Styela clava: one gene and its partner. The protein of the gene in region 1 purifies or fractionates together with the protein of each later gene. This does not show direct contact. Links are inferred from orthologs where the notes say so. Each region holds a gene or a part of one and is shown in the gene's direction. Other genes may lie near its edges.

Region 1 (8,281 bases):
ATTACTATAATATATATTTTGATACATCTTATAGGGAAGATTTCCTTAACTTTGGCAGTGAATTATTTTTGGGAGGCAGGAGTGTAAATGATGTTCTTTATGTTAGTTTTCCAAAGCAAAGGCAGCAAACAACTTAAAGTCTAAAAATTACTTATAGACGGTATAGCAAGAGAATACATACACATTTACTGCTGCTACATTTAGCTATTAAGTTAGCATATTTAGATTGTGTACTTCGAAATGAATATTTACCTCACTCGCATATGAGCTACGTTATGAAGAAATCCCATCTGTTCATTGCTTCGGCATTTAGCTCAGCATATCGATTGTTTATTAGGTACTCTCGTAGTATGTGTGCCAGGTTAGGGTTAAGGCATAATTTTATTCCGATTTTCTTTATTTAAATTCTACTACGAGAATATACTCCTTGGCCATAGGTACCAGTCCCTTTACACAACTTAATGTAAAGTAGGCGAACAAAGTTAGTTACCTTCATATCGGTACATATACACTTCTTTTAGGTCTGTTTAATATACATATAAGGTAAACAATATTTCACGGTAGGTCTGGCTGCATTGCGCCTTTCGTGCAACTACAAACGGTTACATGAAATGGTATATTACCACCAAAAAGGTAGATTCCATTTCTTTTGTGTTACCAATACCATACGGTCTTTATTCTGAATTTCATCATAGCCAAAGTCCGCGTGGCGCCATATGGACTTTTGTTTATTTTTCTGTGAAATTTTGCGGACGACATTGCAAATAGCTGTAGGATACCATTATTTACTATAGCCATGAAATTATGTGGTGAGAAAGAGTAATATTAAAACAATTTTCGTTTTCAAGTTGCAATTAAGTAACTTTTAATTATGGGGAATCTGTACCTTAATTTGTTTTGAGCCTATGAATCCAAGCCTTTGTTATTCGAGGTTCTTGAACACCTTTTTCAGGGTTTGAGTGTAGACGAATACGCCATTAAGTATATTCTCGATGAGTTTGACAGAAATTTCAAAACGTTACGTCATAGTTTAAAATGTTACGTCATAATATCGAACTGTAGTGATGGAGGCCGTGGTTTAGTGCCTCTAATACGCTACCGAGTTCAGCTTATATTTTTTTAAGTAATTTTGAAATAACGCAATGCTAAATAGAAATTCAGCTATTATATTCGTATTGGATACTTCCTGATTTGCATTCCCTTATCGTATTCCAAGTTTGCTACTTTTTATGGTTTTCGCCTTGAAACGCACGAGCTCATATAGGCGCCACCCAATCATGCGGAGCTATCAAATTTTACAATTACTGCAAACATGTATTCGCAAAAAGTGTGAAAACAAGCCGTCTACGGTTACGCTGTTTTGAAGTATTTCATCAACATGGCTGCTTGAGTGGGAAGGAAAATCAGTGAAGTGTAGATGCGAGCTGAATTGTGTATTCTGAGCTGTGAATGAGAAATAATAGAAACTGGATAAGGTAGAATTGTAACGGGAAATCTGGACTTATAAATATTTGCATGGGTGATTCAAGAGTCGTGTTGCACACTAACACAAATATATTTCTGTAATGTTTCGTCTGGCGTTGGACAGAATAGTGTTAGCGTGCAGCAAAACTGTTGAATCTCTTAGGATAGTTATCCTTACTCCTGCTACAGCATCCATGTATTATATGCATACGGGTCCATCGGCACAAAAGCATAAAAGAAGGACAAATAGTTAGTCTCGCAGAAACCAAATGTTTAGTATAATTATTTGTAAGCCTTTCGAAGCCAATACAGTTGAAAAACCTAGTTTTATGTGACAGAATTGGCTGCAAATGTTCGGCTGCAGCGTTATTTTTCGAAAGAAGATTGTAATAAGACCCTGTCTTATTTTCGGGGAAACACGGCAGCACGGTCACAATTTTCATGACGCCCTAGTTTTTCGTGATGTTTTTCTAATGTTAATTACCGTACCAGCTCCGGTAATGTATACTTTTACGGGGTGAAACAAAATACAACACGGCTCATTAAAATTAATTGCTTTATAACTAAACTATTTTGTATCGCGTCATTCGAAGCTGTAAATTATCAATAAAATGTTATCACCAAACAAAAAGACTTTCGCTTTTACGTGTTTGTTATTGTCTAATTGACATCATATCCACGCCGAAAAAGAATTTGTTTCAGTTTTAAGGTTATTCCACATAGCAAACTGTAGCAAGGTGATGTTATCCTTTAATATATATAAGAATAACTTTTACGGAGATCTCTAAAGACACATGGTATATTACATTTATAGATGCTCAAAACGATTCCGTGCACTTCAGAGCAGTGTCTTAACCAAGAAGTCCGAGCTTGCATAGCGTTTAAAAGAGTTTACTTGTGGGATATCGTTCAAAGTTCGTTTTCAAATCTTCACTTGTAAAAATATATAGCTGTTCGACAAATTTTATGTTTTTCCACCCCGTTTAGCGGCCACTCCGTTTAGTGCATATAGCCATAGGCAGCGGTGTGATTCAGGGGCGATCCCGTTCTCGGAATGTTGTCATGATCCACTAACCTGTTCTTGTTTTTACACGTACACACACGGCGAGGAAGCAAATGGGTAACGTGCACCACAGCTGACGACTAGCCTATATTTTGCATTTCGAAAGTTATGTATGTAGGCTATATATTAGAATTATGTAAACATGTCATGATAATGTAGCTTAAGTAATCGCATACATATATAAATTTTTTGAAATGAGCGAGCGAACGAGTTCTATACAAAAAGAAAGTTTATTGTTAAAATATTGAATCCCATCACTGGACATAAGATTTTTATATTCAATGCCCGGAAAAAAAACGTCTCAATCTCGTACAGACGACTGCGCCTTTCCTAGGGATAAAGTAGCATTTTATATATACGATGGGTAAAGTTAGTTGATTAACGGGTCGCAGGTATTCTACAAGACTTACTATATAACTTTACCAATAGTCAGTCTAATTTTATATCACATATATATATATATGTTTTGTTATCAATTAGGTATTCGGCACCGACTGATTTATATTTTGAGTTATGTGAACTTGAGATAGGATTTTTCTTTTATCTCAGGGAAAAGTAAGCCCGACCTGTCGCCTAAATATAAAGTGGGCAACGACGTTTAGTTTAGACCAGCAATCAACCTTGGTTGTGAGAATAACTCGTTTCACATCATGGACTCCGATGGTATGGTATAGAAAGCCGTACTACAGTGCCATACTAAATACTATGCTTCGTGTTTCGAGGCAATGGTACTCGGTCGATTTCGATACCTAAAGTTCGATGTACCAATGTTCTATCTATAAGCAGATGTAGCCTATATTGAGCCTATATTTTTAAAGTTAATTCTGTTTGGAACATGCTCGTTAAATGCGAATGGATATAGCTGTTCGAGACGGGTTTTTGACAATTTAGGGAAATCAATATGCGTGAATTATTCAGTTTACCGTGATTTCTACGTCATATCTCTTTTTTATTCTTGAAATAACTGAATTAATCCTAGAATTTATCACTGACATTTCTCAGAACAAAGTATCGAAAAGTATGAAGCAGTGCGGGTACGACGAAAAAAACTTCTTGCATTTCGAAATATTTTTGCAGGTTGGCAAAATACTAAATCGTTTTTTTATTATCTGAGATCGAATACAAAAAGCAAACGCATAATAAACCAGATTATGTTTTAATTTTCGCAAATTGAATTATGGATTTTTTACAAAAAAATTCCACTCGTTTTACCACTAATGGTTTACTGTGTAAACATCTATTAAAAATTAATAGAACCTAATAGAATTATCATATATACATAAGGAAGATATATTTATTTTCTAATCTTCATGTATGTCCGTGCTTAATGTTTCAACTCTATTGGCTTTAATAATTTAGTTTCTAAATCCCAAAAGTTTAAACCAGCGCTCAGTTTATTGAACATTGCATCGGGTGTACTGTAGATGAGTATCTTTCTAGCATTGATTATGTCTGTTTATGGCGCATACCCGTTGAAAGGACGAATTTCGTTTACATACCGGTCTTCTTATCTAGTACTTTTCTTATATATGCTCATCTACTTATAAAGCTCTCTAAACAATCACATAGACTTGAGGAGCTACAATGTTTGGATTTAATTCAGTTAGTATAGCTAACGCATTTCCCCTTTGGTCAGCGTACCCGCTGTCGTGCTGTTGAATGGATATCTTCGAAGATCATAAATAATATTGAGTATCTGTTGAAATATAATTTTATTACAAATAGCTCAAATCGAATCATTTAAAATAGAAAGTCTCATTGCAAGAAGCCTCCCACTCTAGTAGTGACTCCGAGCAGGTTCGTATCAGGAATTTTCAAATGGTGGTGAGAGGTCTAAAATTCCTAATTGTCAAATTAGATCTAACAGCTTGCGGGTGCGGAGTTCAAGAGCCATGAACATCTAACAGCGTTTTAGCTACGAAAAATTGTTATGTAGGATACAGTAAAATGGGTGCTCCCGAAGTATGCGAACCAAGATGGCGGACATCGGAACGTAACATGGGTAACAGGTTAGGGTTAGGCAATAATTTTTTTCCAATTTTCCTTATTTTAGTCATATTATCAGTTCGAAGACTAGCCAAGAGCCTCCCGTAGTATTTATACCTAAAATTATGGCCTAATCCTAACCTAGTACACATATTACATTCCGATGTCCGCCATCTTGGTTCGCATACTTCGGGAGCCCCGAAAAATGTCTTTTAACATTTCAAAAGAGGAATTCCGCCCCGCAGCTGCACTCCCCCTCATACCCCTTACCTGGGTACACTCCTGAATCCGAGTCATCTAAATGGAATTACTCGGACTCGTCATCAACTAATCGCCAGTAAGGGTAACTCGACTTGAGTGGCTCGTGACTCGGCTAGAGACTCCTTTCTACCTTACGCTGGTATCGAAATCTAATGATTCAATATGTAAATTTAGTGGCACAGATTTATATGTCTGATGAGACTGAGGGTTCAGAAATATAAAAGTAAGATATATTTTTACAAATTTTTGTTAAATATAGTGACATTCCATTTTCGCAGAATTTTATTTTATCAGTAAATAAACTAGCAAAGCAAAATGTTGAAACAAATAATCAAAGATATGTACGTTGATCCCGAGATATTGGCGGAATTACCGGAAGAACAAAAACAAATTTTATTTTTCAAAATCAGAGAAGAACAGGTTAGTAAAAGTTTTATTTTTTATAGTTTGCTTGGAACAAGGCCATGGGCCTTGGGCCAGAAAAGTGTGAGTCTGCCGTTCAATTTATAAATATTTCACTCAAAAGATGCGGTATATGGGCTTTTTGAGATTTACCTAATCTTAAACCTAATTTTGAGGTTTCAGATAAAAATAGCTCAAGGAATTTGTTGTGATTGCGATTAAATTTAGTTTTGGCACGAGGCCTATTGTTTTCTACAAGGTTTTTCGTTACACTCACATGGCCCGCCAGTCTAGGTGGGCAACATTTTTGGCCCTGTGTCTAAAAACCTTGCCCACCCCTGTCTAACCACTACGTTTTCTCGCCTCCTTGAACATAATCTTTTACGTTTTAATGTTCTATGCTGAATGCTCATGAACTCATTGTCACGGTGTAAATACACAGTTCATCCTAATTAAATTATTTATCAAAGCTTACTTTACATGTGTCTTACAGAAACGGCGATATTATGAAAGTGAAAAACAGTTTGAAAAGAAGATGGCGAAGAAATCGAATCAAAGTGAAAGTAAGCAATGGCTATTTTGTACTTATTCTGCGGTACTCTAATTCTCGGTGAAGCGGTTATTTGAGAGGGAGTGTAAAAATGTATCTTTTGCGAAAATGCTGTTTGGGCAAATCAATTTCAAATCTTAATAATTAAAGATCGAAGTATGGTCGCTAGAAGGAACTTTCTTCGAATTGTTCAAAATTCCTCATTATTTCACCCATTATTTCACCAAAAACTCTGTTATGTTTTCAACTGTAGGTAAAAGCCTTTTTCTCAGCATTGCTTATCCGCGGATCTTCTTAGAAAAATTCGGTACTCTCGGGCTTACCGTACAACCGTACCGGTACCGATGGGCAATCTTCGTGTCCATATATTTGAGTATTGCTATATTATTCCCTAATAATATTTTAGATGATGTCGAGTATTTCATATTTTTCTGTCTTATCCTCTTACATTTTAGTTATATGTGATTCTTTGTTCAAACTATTATTGCACATATTCGCCGCGATGTTTACTCCCAAATTCTCACAAAACCACTTTGTCCAAGTAAATTTAAAAAATAGTAAAGTAAATGAAGTTTTATTTGATCCACATCTTTCTTTGTGTGCGGTCTTAAAATTAAATAGTTTCTTTGTAGATGAGCTAAAGTTTTTTGTTACATCATGGTAGAAAGCCATATAAATGAGGTCAAAAATACTAAAGTGGGAGCTGCCTATATACGTGAATATTTTTATTATTATACTCTGCAGCCAATTTCACGAATATTTTAATTTACGTGTTCCCTATATTGTTGAAGAACTAAGTTATTGTTTCTCAAAGTGTTTAGCCCCAGGAGAAACCTAGGGGCTCCGCGATCAATTCAAATATCAACTTGGTTAATTTTGTAACTGTTCAAAGATGCAAATAAAAGTATTAACAAAATTCGAAATCGAGGCTGTAATTCAAATATCACATTGTCTAAAAATCCCAATAGATATTTTTATTTTCATAAATTTATTGTGGGGCTCCTTCAATAATAGTCAACCTCCTAACGAACTTTATAACACCCCCTGAGAGCCCCCTGGTTTATTTAAGTAATAACCGTGTAATTTCGTCATTATTTTTGAAAATAAATTTCTGAAAGTAAAGATTATATGGGCCTCCTGAAGTATGCGCACCAAGATGGCGCACAACCTTGACTCAGGTTGTGTACCAGGTTAGGGTTCAGGTTATGCGACATCTTGGTGCGCATACTTCAGGAGTACCGATAATATTATCTTCAACATTAAAAATATTAAAAAGCCGAATCGAAAGAGGTTTATAAAAGCACCACTTACGACTAGACAGCGGGGATTTTATATCTAAAGTTGACGTCTGATATACAATATTGAGTTGTATATTAACCAAACATAGATATACCACCCACTCAATGCAATTATGGAATAAACAGTATTATTATGAACAAACACCGATATTATATGATAATATTGACTTTATTACAAAATTTCGATTTCGAATGGATAGATAGAAAAAAGATAGAAACCTAATGATGTTTTTTTTATCGCTGTTTACATAAGCTAACGTTCACGAATGAATCTCTAGTGCAGTGGTTCCCGACCTTTTATGACTCGCAGAACTATTTTTACAGTTCCTTCCACAAAACAACTCCCCGTTTTTCTAATTTCATTGCTTATTAATAAATTTTTTCAAAGAGTGTTTCACTTTGCGTACCATGAATGGTTTAAACATAATGAGATTTGTAATCAACCAATCGAAACAACACTCTAAATACTACAGGAATAATATTAAGGGGGGCACGAGTAAGGGGGGCTGATACCTTCCGGAAGGAGGCCCATGAGCCATGAAAGGCTGAGAACCACAGCTTATAATATTGTGTATTAATATCTAAATATTTCAGAATCTGCAAAAATTCGTATCTTGGAAGACAGCAATGGCCAGCCTTGGACATGGGTAATGGGGGAACATCCTAACGATGTAACTGTTGAAGAAATATGGGCAAATATAGGGTATGTATATCATGTATGTTTTTATAATAAGTCTAGTACCGTGGTTCTATCTTTCATGAGCCGTTGCCAACTTTCAAAGACTTTCAGCACACTGCGGTCTCCTGCTCTTCGATTAAATGTTTTGTTTTGTTTTTAACGAGTTTCCAAAAAATATAGCTAAAAAATAAAGCTTGTTACCTTTCATCCTATTTTATGTGACGCTTATGTTACGTATTTCGCTCTGAACAAGGCTCCGTACAAGTAGCTCTAATATGCAAAGAGTTACTATTCTGGGAAGAAACGAAATCATTCCGGTTTGGTATAGCATACCTAATTTATTGCACCCTGCGGAGTGAGGTAGCGTGTCGGGTTTGAGATGTGCATCGCACACACTATCATAGTTTCGTATATACCAGGGGTGAGCAAGGTATTTAAACAAGGGGCCAAAAATTTTGCCCACCTAGACTGGCGGGCTATGTGAGTATAGCGTGAAAAGTTACATTCTATGAATAATACTTACAAATGCAAAAGTGGAAAACAATAAGCCTCGTGACGAAACTAAATTTAATCTCAAT
Region 2 (8,230 bases), on another chromosome or scaffold:
AAATAGTTTTCGGTATATGACTGGGGGGCAACGATACGACCTTTGGGTGGGGGTCATCAGAGTCAGTTGCCACCCAATTATATTAAATAAGCATAAAAATAACAGGTTCGTGCCAATATATCAATGTCTCTCACGATTTATACTATGTACAATATTTACATGAATTTACTATTTTCAATTATGGAAGCATTCTTTTAAATAATGGGATTTTGCACAAATTGAAATTATACTGCAAAATATAAAATGATCGAAACGAAAAAAAGTGGGAAAGCAGGTCAGACAAGCTACGGTACCGGTACCGGTACCGGTACCCATTATTCTGCTATTTGGGTAACTTGTTTTATTGAATGAATATAAGTTAAACATATCAAGTTGGATTTTGAATAAGCAAATATGGGTGGAGTTCTATTCTACTATACACACACTAGTGCAATGTAATCAGAAGCATGGGTTGGGTCATCAAAACAAATTAGAATTTGGTTTAAACAACAAAAAAATGCATTTCAAAAATGCAATACATTGTAAACTTTGTATAAACAAACAATCAATATTAAAATATCAAGAAAGGTACCGTAATGAAAAAACACAACAGTTGACTTAATGTAGGAATAGCCTAATTACATGAATTAGGATACGAATACCAGTAAATAGAATAGGCCTACTTAATGTAGGAATAAATAGTAGGCCTATCTGTCTATTGAATGCTTTACCGATATTGTCTTATATTAACTTTAGGACGCTGCTGGTCTTAAAAGAGCTATTATAGGCCTAGCTCTGTATAATCAGATAATAGTCTGGTAGTAAACGTGTGTTGTCGGGTGAAAAGGATACCGTACCTACCGGTACCGGTATGCAATGGTGGAAAAAAAAGATCATTCCAGTTCTTCAAATCCAACTACATACTATGACCTCTTGGCCAGTAAAGTGTCACAGCTAGCTCAAAAAGAAAGGTATGGAAAACTGATGCCATTTACTCGGAATTATGTCTGATTTATTATACCGGTACCTGCATTGAAATCGATAGGAATGCAGCCATGACTGCATGAAATGCAGAAATATTGCTTCTGTACTTACAGCCTTTTACAGTATTTTTAATATTACGTCAGTACAGTACCAAAGGCTACTAAAGTGACTCAAGAACCTCTGTGAAGTTAGCAGAAAATCACGAAATTAGAGCTGACAGAATCGCAGAAAATTCCTACACATAAAAACAAATGTTCCCAATCATTTTGTGCTAGGATGTGTATATTTACACATTATATACATGTGTCGTAACCCTACCGTTTGTGAAAAATTCCTGATGTGAAAAAAGTGAAATTTCATCTACAAAAAAGCAACAGCGTCGTTTTACGGTTGCGTATCATGGTTTCGCTGTCAAAACGATATAATTCTGTGTGTTATCACCGTAGCGCAATTAGCCAGACTTTTTTTTGCCTTCACGATATATTATCTTTTATATCCGAATTTCGGAAAGCGTATTCACCTTTCTCTCCATGAAACAGACATGAAACGAATTTTACCGCCCGATCAAAAGGACAAAAAGGTTATAAGCTAATTTAAGAACTTTCTTTTCCTGACTCAATCACTTTTATTAATACAAATCACAGCGCATTGAAAAGCAAAATAGAATTTATTAACATTAATTTTATGTAATACAGGTAAATAATGTATTTCATGTAAATTTCTCGAGATATTAGAAAAAATATTATTTTGACCATGTAGAAATGCCAATTATTGCCGATTTATTCATGTGTTTAGTATCAATAAAAAAAAAGAGGGTTTTAATTCAAAGCTGAGTTTCAACGTGAATATTCAACTCTTGAGTATTCAAGAGAATACCAATTTGCAGAGTTTTTCAATTATTATTTAATACGAAAGTAACACGGACACAGTCAAAAATTAAAAGCATAGAAATGTCAACTATTCGCTTCACAAATTTTGCATCCCGGGGTCAGTAATGATAATAATGTTCGCTTAAAATTGGGACCTTAATTCACAAACTGTGATACAAATCCTACACAGAAGATAAAAATCAGAATAAAATTAATTTGTGTTTTGAATGCACTATTGCACCCCTTAATAGTTGTCTTTAACATCTTCGTCGATGTGAACTCACAATCATGTTCAATATATAAAATCCAAACTATGATATCCGCCGTGAGGATAAATATTTGCTAGTGAATAAAAAAGTACTTTAATATAGTTTAACTAACAGTTGAGGTTGCGTGAAACTAACTACCTTTCCTTGCTCTAAATGCCTTTGCATATAGTTTAACAGCATTAATTGGGTATCGGCCGCCAAAACGATCGCGGTGACAAAAAATTTAGTCAGGCCTTCGATTATGAAAATATTATGAAATAAAAAAACGTGGCTCTTACGGAGTTTTCAGTTATCTAGTAAATTCAAAAAAAAAATTTACTGTGACAGCGATCGTTTCGGCGGCTGACTTCCCAATTAATGTTGTTTAGAATGACAATACTCATTATTTGATGTTCGTTAAAAATATTCGAATAACTCGATTAAAAAATACGATTCTACCCGCCACTAATCATGGCGCATGTAAATAATCATTTAACGGAAATAAAAAAAATCGACTCCATTAACAATGAATTCCAAGTAATAGTTTCACATTTCATACTTTTGATCGGCGCTACATGCGAGCAAGTACATATAAACCATTATGACGCTACTGACATCTGGGAGTTATAGTTCTCTCTAAAAAATTAATTTTACCGATTTTTCACGTTTTATTTCTAAATGCGGGTACCCGCTGACTACGGATTAATGGGAACACCGTCAGGCAAAGAGAGACGGGCTGCACGTAACTGTGGAATTTTGATGTGAGCGACCATACATTATACTTATAGTTCATTAAACGCATTACGTCGTCGTGAATTGCACTTTCGGTGCACTGTTTTAGTTTCATTGTATGTCGTGTATGTCATCTACTACATTAAGAAGGGGTATTATAGAATCTGTAAAGCAACGATGCTAGAGATACTTGACTTATAATTTTAATGTAATTTATTTTAGTCAGTTGTAATAATCAAGGTATTTCACAACAATCTCTTATGGAAATAAAATTTAAATGGAAATTCTAAGATGAAAAATTGTCAATGACAAGAAAAATACGGTGCTCTTCGCACTGGATTTAAAAATTATCATGCCAAGTTGCCGTTATGCTATTGTTGTTCTTTTTAAGAAATCTGCTGCAGTTTGATAATGTGAACATCAGAAGTGCCGTGGCCACTGCATCTGCTATTATTATGAATGTTGCCCTCAAGCGAGCATTGGTCTTGTACGAAGGAGTAATAGTAACAGCGGTGTCTGTTTCGATCACTGCCATTGGATCACATTTTGCACTAGATAAACTTCTTGTTCAGTCTCCAATGTTTTCAGGTATATCTTATATACAAATTCCTGAAATTAAAAATTTTTTGGATTTAGAGAATCTGATTTTTGAATCAGCAAAAGTAACTGCCAGTAGTAGATCGTTACCCATCGAACATACCAACAGCTGTTGTAACTAACACAGAAATAGGCGATTTATAAATTTAACTTCAATGTGCCATTGTTTATAGGCGGAAATTAATGTGGCCCACACGCTACTGTCATAAAGTTTGCTGACAACTTATTCAAACCAATTTATGGGTGTGAAACTAACGGAGGCATTAATCATGATTATTGACAACATTATCATTAAATTACACTGCATATGTAGATCCTGATTTTTGCATGACATGTACTACAATTCGAGGAGGTTTTTCTCAGGCTGTGTCATCAACTATTCTTCCAATTGCAACTTCCTTAGCAGCAAATGCTGTTATTGCTGATCGGTAAGATTTTTTTAATGAAGAAATAGGCATGCATTATACCATTCTATGGATTAGTGAATAATTTGGTAAGAAACAATTATATTCAAAAATTTGACTGTAATTGATGAATTGGTTAAATTAGTTAGGTTTACAGCGGAATTATGAATAATATTGTTCAAATTTGCTGCCCTGCAGGCTAATCAGTTCAGTGGGAAACTAGGTGGTATTTGATAGTATTCTTCATGGGTTGATCAAATAAAATTGCAGACTATGATTTCAGAGCATTGAAATATTCATATGGACAGCCTAACATCATTTCAGTGTCTCTATCGAATCAATTCTCTGATTTTTTCAACAGTTTTGTTAAATTTTTTCATTTCAGGTACACTAATTTGCATATACCAGCACTAAGATGGAAAAATAGAATAGAAGCCTATAGATTTTGGAGCGGAAAATTGCGATCAACAAAATCTTTATTCCTTTTAAGTCTTGGATTTCAATCACTTTTTGGGGCCTATGTTGCTTATAAACAAAGTGTTATCATGAAAGAAATACATAATACTGTAACTGATGAAGAACTTGATGCAATAGCTAATGCAGTTTCTTCTGATTATCGAAGTTTGGTCAAATACAATGGATAGCTGATGGAACCTTTTGTTGATCACCAAGTGATATGTAGTGCAGTTTGCTTGTGGAAGTTACACAACCATATGGATAGTTTGACTTTGCTGTCAACTAGTATTTGATGGCGTCATCGTTAAAGTTATCTTTTTTGACTTATAAGAACTTTGTTGCAAAAATGTCAAATCAAAATGCCATACATAACATGATTATTGTTTAGTTTTTTATCGATTTAAATTGAAAAGGTGAAAAATATACTACTGAATAATCCAATGATATCAAAATTTTTCTGTACCATACGATAAAGTTTTGTGTAATTTGTGATGTATGGTGCAATTGATGCAAATTTTAAATTGTAACACCTGATGCTATTAGTCGACATGATTTTGATGTAAAATTTGCATCTTGCAAAATAAATATGTGGTGTTTGAAGTAACACGTATGTACCTTATTGTTGATTCTTCTTCCCTGCTTTTGTGTTTGTGGATCTGCTAAATTGTTTGTTTCTCTTGGTTTGAATGACTTATTTTCTATAATCAGGAAAAACAACCTACGAAAAATGTGTATTCTGTTAGTGGATTCATACCACTTTGTGACAGTTTACTACAGCTTTATATTTGCATTGGTTATCAGCATTTCTCCTGCACCATGCTGCTATTGCTACATTTCATCAACACTGTTTTCATTTTTAAGATGAACAACTAGTTCTAATGCTTATGATAGTTCAGCTGGGTAATCAACTTGTTGAAGACAACGGATAGAAATGCAAGACGGTGAGGTGAAATACAATTTTTGAACTTTGAAGTGGAATGAAATGTAATGGATATTTTTTCCAACTCTACGTACAATTATTTCTGGCATTGGTGGGCTGCATTGATAAAAAAACTTAGTTTTAGTATGACATGTCCTCTCCAGTTCTTGCATCTTTGGTTCTTGTTAATGGTATATATTACATATCTTCAAAGTTTTCCCGCCTATTTTATTGCATTTTGACTGTACGTAGTTCAGCTAAATTGTGAACAGAGAATTCAAAAACGAAGAACCTACAAATTGCCCTGTTAGGATGGTAATTATACATGCTAGTTAACGTTGCATGTTTGTTTGTTTTGCTGAAAACCTGAATAATTTTAGATATAATTGATTTCTGAGTCTGAGATATGAAAGCATTTTCAATATGTCATTCTAAAATACATTGTGGTTTTTATTTCTTGTTATTGCAGGCTGATAAAGATGTCTTAACAGACGGCGAAGAAGAGAAAGCGGAAGAAGACAATACAAATGATGATTTTGACATAAGGAAAGCAGTGGAGGCAGATGCAGAAGTAAGTCTTATTTGTAATGTATTTCAATTTTATTAACTTCGGTTACACTGCTAAACAATACAAGCATGCCTAAAGACCCATACTCTGTTATTGTTCAGAGCACACGAAACCCATTACAGTGATACCTTGGTAGTCAAATGACTCAATACTCGAACAATTCAGTAGTCGCCAAAAAATTCTAGTCAAAAATGTGCTCGAACATGCCTCTTGACCATTCAACAAGGGAGCGATGCTCAAATATACGGACACAAAGCCCAAAATGAAGTCACAGTAGACTACTGGTACATCATCGCACATAAAAACGAATTCGACGAAAATTTGTGCACTTACAGTAACTAACTGATAAAATTTTCATTGTTATTATATTTACTCTTTAATATGTACGCATTTAAATAATTATTGTTGTTTGGGACTCGTTTGTTAATATTTCTGGTATTTTGGAATATGTAAGAACGAATTAAAATAGTCAGCATTGTTGTTTGTTACCCAAAAAAGATTCGGTACTCTGACAAATCAGTATTCTAACAGCAATCTGGAACGAATTATGTTTGACTACCGAGGTATCCCTGTGATATTATCTCGATGTTATAGTAGGGGTTCTATCAATGTTTTTGTTGACCTGTGGTCTGATTAATAGCAAAAAGTAATTAGGTGTTCACTATTTATTTTATTTGCAGTATGTTAATCTTGAGCACTTTCGAATCGGGGATTTAAAAGGATTTGAATACCTTACCCATGTTGTTGAACTTTGCTTGAGGAATAATTCAATAAAGAACACTTCAGGATTGCAATGTCTTTCGGGAACATTAAAAAATCTTGATCTTTATGATAATAAATTGAAGAAAATTGAGAATCTAGATGACTTAACAAAACTAGAGTGAGTTCGTATATATTTATGTGTTGATTTTGTATCCCTACCATTTTGTTTTTCTAGTCTGATTATTTTATTGAAGCCATTTTTCTGAAATTCAATTCTGAAATTTGACTCTTTTCTTCCTATCGAGTTATTGATGAAACATGTATTCTACTGTATATGACAACTCGGTGAACTGATTGAGTGATTTTTTCATTAATTTGTGTGTCTGGATGACCCATCACAATAAAAGAGTCACATACAATTACGTTGTATTACTTTAAATATCTTTCAAGTATCCAAGATTCGACTCGAAAAAAATATTCAATTCTATTCCTAATTCCTCAGATATTTGGAAATGCCTGAAATTTGAATATTTTACATATTCAAATTTTTTGATCAATCAGTTTGAATTCTGAACGCTTTACTAGGTGATAAGATACATTTAACTTTCTTTGACAATTTGGTTTATTTTTCTGCCAAATATGAATATGTTGTGAATTGTTTTTATGGCTTATTTTCACGCTGTTCCTCTAGTTTCACAGTAATATAAGTAAGTTTAATAATATTACAGTATATATATATTCGCTTTAGATATATTCTCAACTGATGAGAAACCATGGTAATTGGTGAACATCTTCACAGCAGCAAATTTTAAATGTTCAAAATCCTTTTTCAGGGTTTTGGATTTGTCCTTCAATTTAATAAGAAAAATGGAATGTATTGGAAGTTTGACTCTGTTAAAGAAGCTCTACTTTGTTTCAAATAAAATTTCAAAAATAGAAAATTTGAACTCACTTACAGAACTTACTCTGTTGGAGTTGGGTGACAACAGAGTAAAGGTAAAAGCAATATTTTATGACATCAGTTTTTGTGTGTTTTCCACTGCTCCAGATAATGTTCTATGGAATACCGGTATATGGGCTGTATTCTTTGTACACTTTATTAACATTTCTTATGGTTGAATGTAACTAAGTAGTGTATTAAAATATTTTTAGTACATCCAAATCCAGGTAAACATACTCATAAATGCATTGACTACTGCATGCTTTCTCTTGTTAACAATTCAATGATATAAAGGCCATGAATATAGTATTGGAATTGGGGGATGTTTGAGCAGATTGTAGAGTTGGAATTGCTCTGACTACCCCTCCGGGATGACAGAATTAATGCTTCTTTGATATTTCAATTAAGAAAAGCGACTCCATCTCATAAATTTAGGGTGTCTGTCTAGAAATGTTCTATCTGCATAATTAAAAATTGACTGGGAAATCTCAAAAAACTGCATTTAATTTGAAAATAGGATATTGGCTTTGACATGAATAAAGTCAGACAACCCCGCTTCTCAGCCTGGTATGAATTCCCTAAATTGATCATTCGTACTAATCTCTACTTTTTGTATTTCTCAGCACATAGAAAATCTTGAATCTCTCAAAAATCTGGAAGAACTTTACTTAGGAAAAAACAAGTTGTCAAAAATTGTTAATTTGAATGCATTAGTCAATATTAAAATACTTGCATTGCAAAGCAACAGGATTACTGTAATGGAAGGATTCGAAACACTCATCAACTTAGAGCAATTGTACATCAGTCACAATGGGATTGAAGTTCTACAAGG

The links.
Region 2: the proteins of SH2 domain-containing protein 4A-like (region 1) and uncharacterized protein LOC120327913 purify together in Homo sapiens (affinity purification with mass spectrometry; 3 studies listed by BioGRID and IntAct, counting the BioPlex papers as one, with this or other methods). This does not show direct contact. The link is inferred for Styela clava from reciprocal best matches to the Homo sapiens genes SH2D4A and PPP1R7.

What each region holds. Positions count from the first base shown.
Region 1 is NC_135250.1:4,400,746-4,409,026, reverse strand, and holds the start of SH2 domain-containing protein 4A-like, read left to right. Parts: upstream 1-5,052; 5' UTR 5,053-5,089; coding exon 5,090-5,194; intron 5,195-5,669; coding exon 5,670-5,739; intron 5,740-7,618; coding exon 7,619-7,727; intron 7,728-8,281. UniProt on the Homo sapiens protein: Inhibits estrogen-induced cell proliferation by competing with PLCG for binding to ESR1, blocking the effect of estrogen on PLCG and repressing estrogen-induced proliferation. May play a role in T-cell development and function.
Region 2 is NC_135256.1:8,592,833-8,601,062, forward strand, and holds the start of uncharacterized protein LOC120327913, read left to right. Parts: upstream 1-5,075; 5' UTR 5,076-5,200; coding exon 5,201-5,215; intron 5,216-5,657; coding exon 5,658-5,759; intron 5,760-6,436; coding exon 6,437-6,636; intron 6,637-7,291; coding exon 7,292-7,454; intron 7,455-8,021; coding exon 8,022-8,230. Other genes in the region: transmembrane protein 126A-like, read left to right, coding at 856-950, 3,204-3,400, 3,723-3,837, 4,199-4,457. UniProt on the Homo sapiens protein: Regulatory subunit of protein phosphatase 1.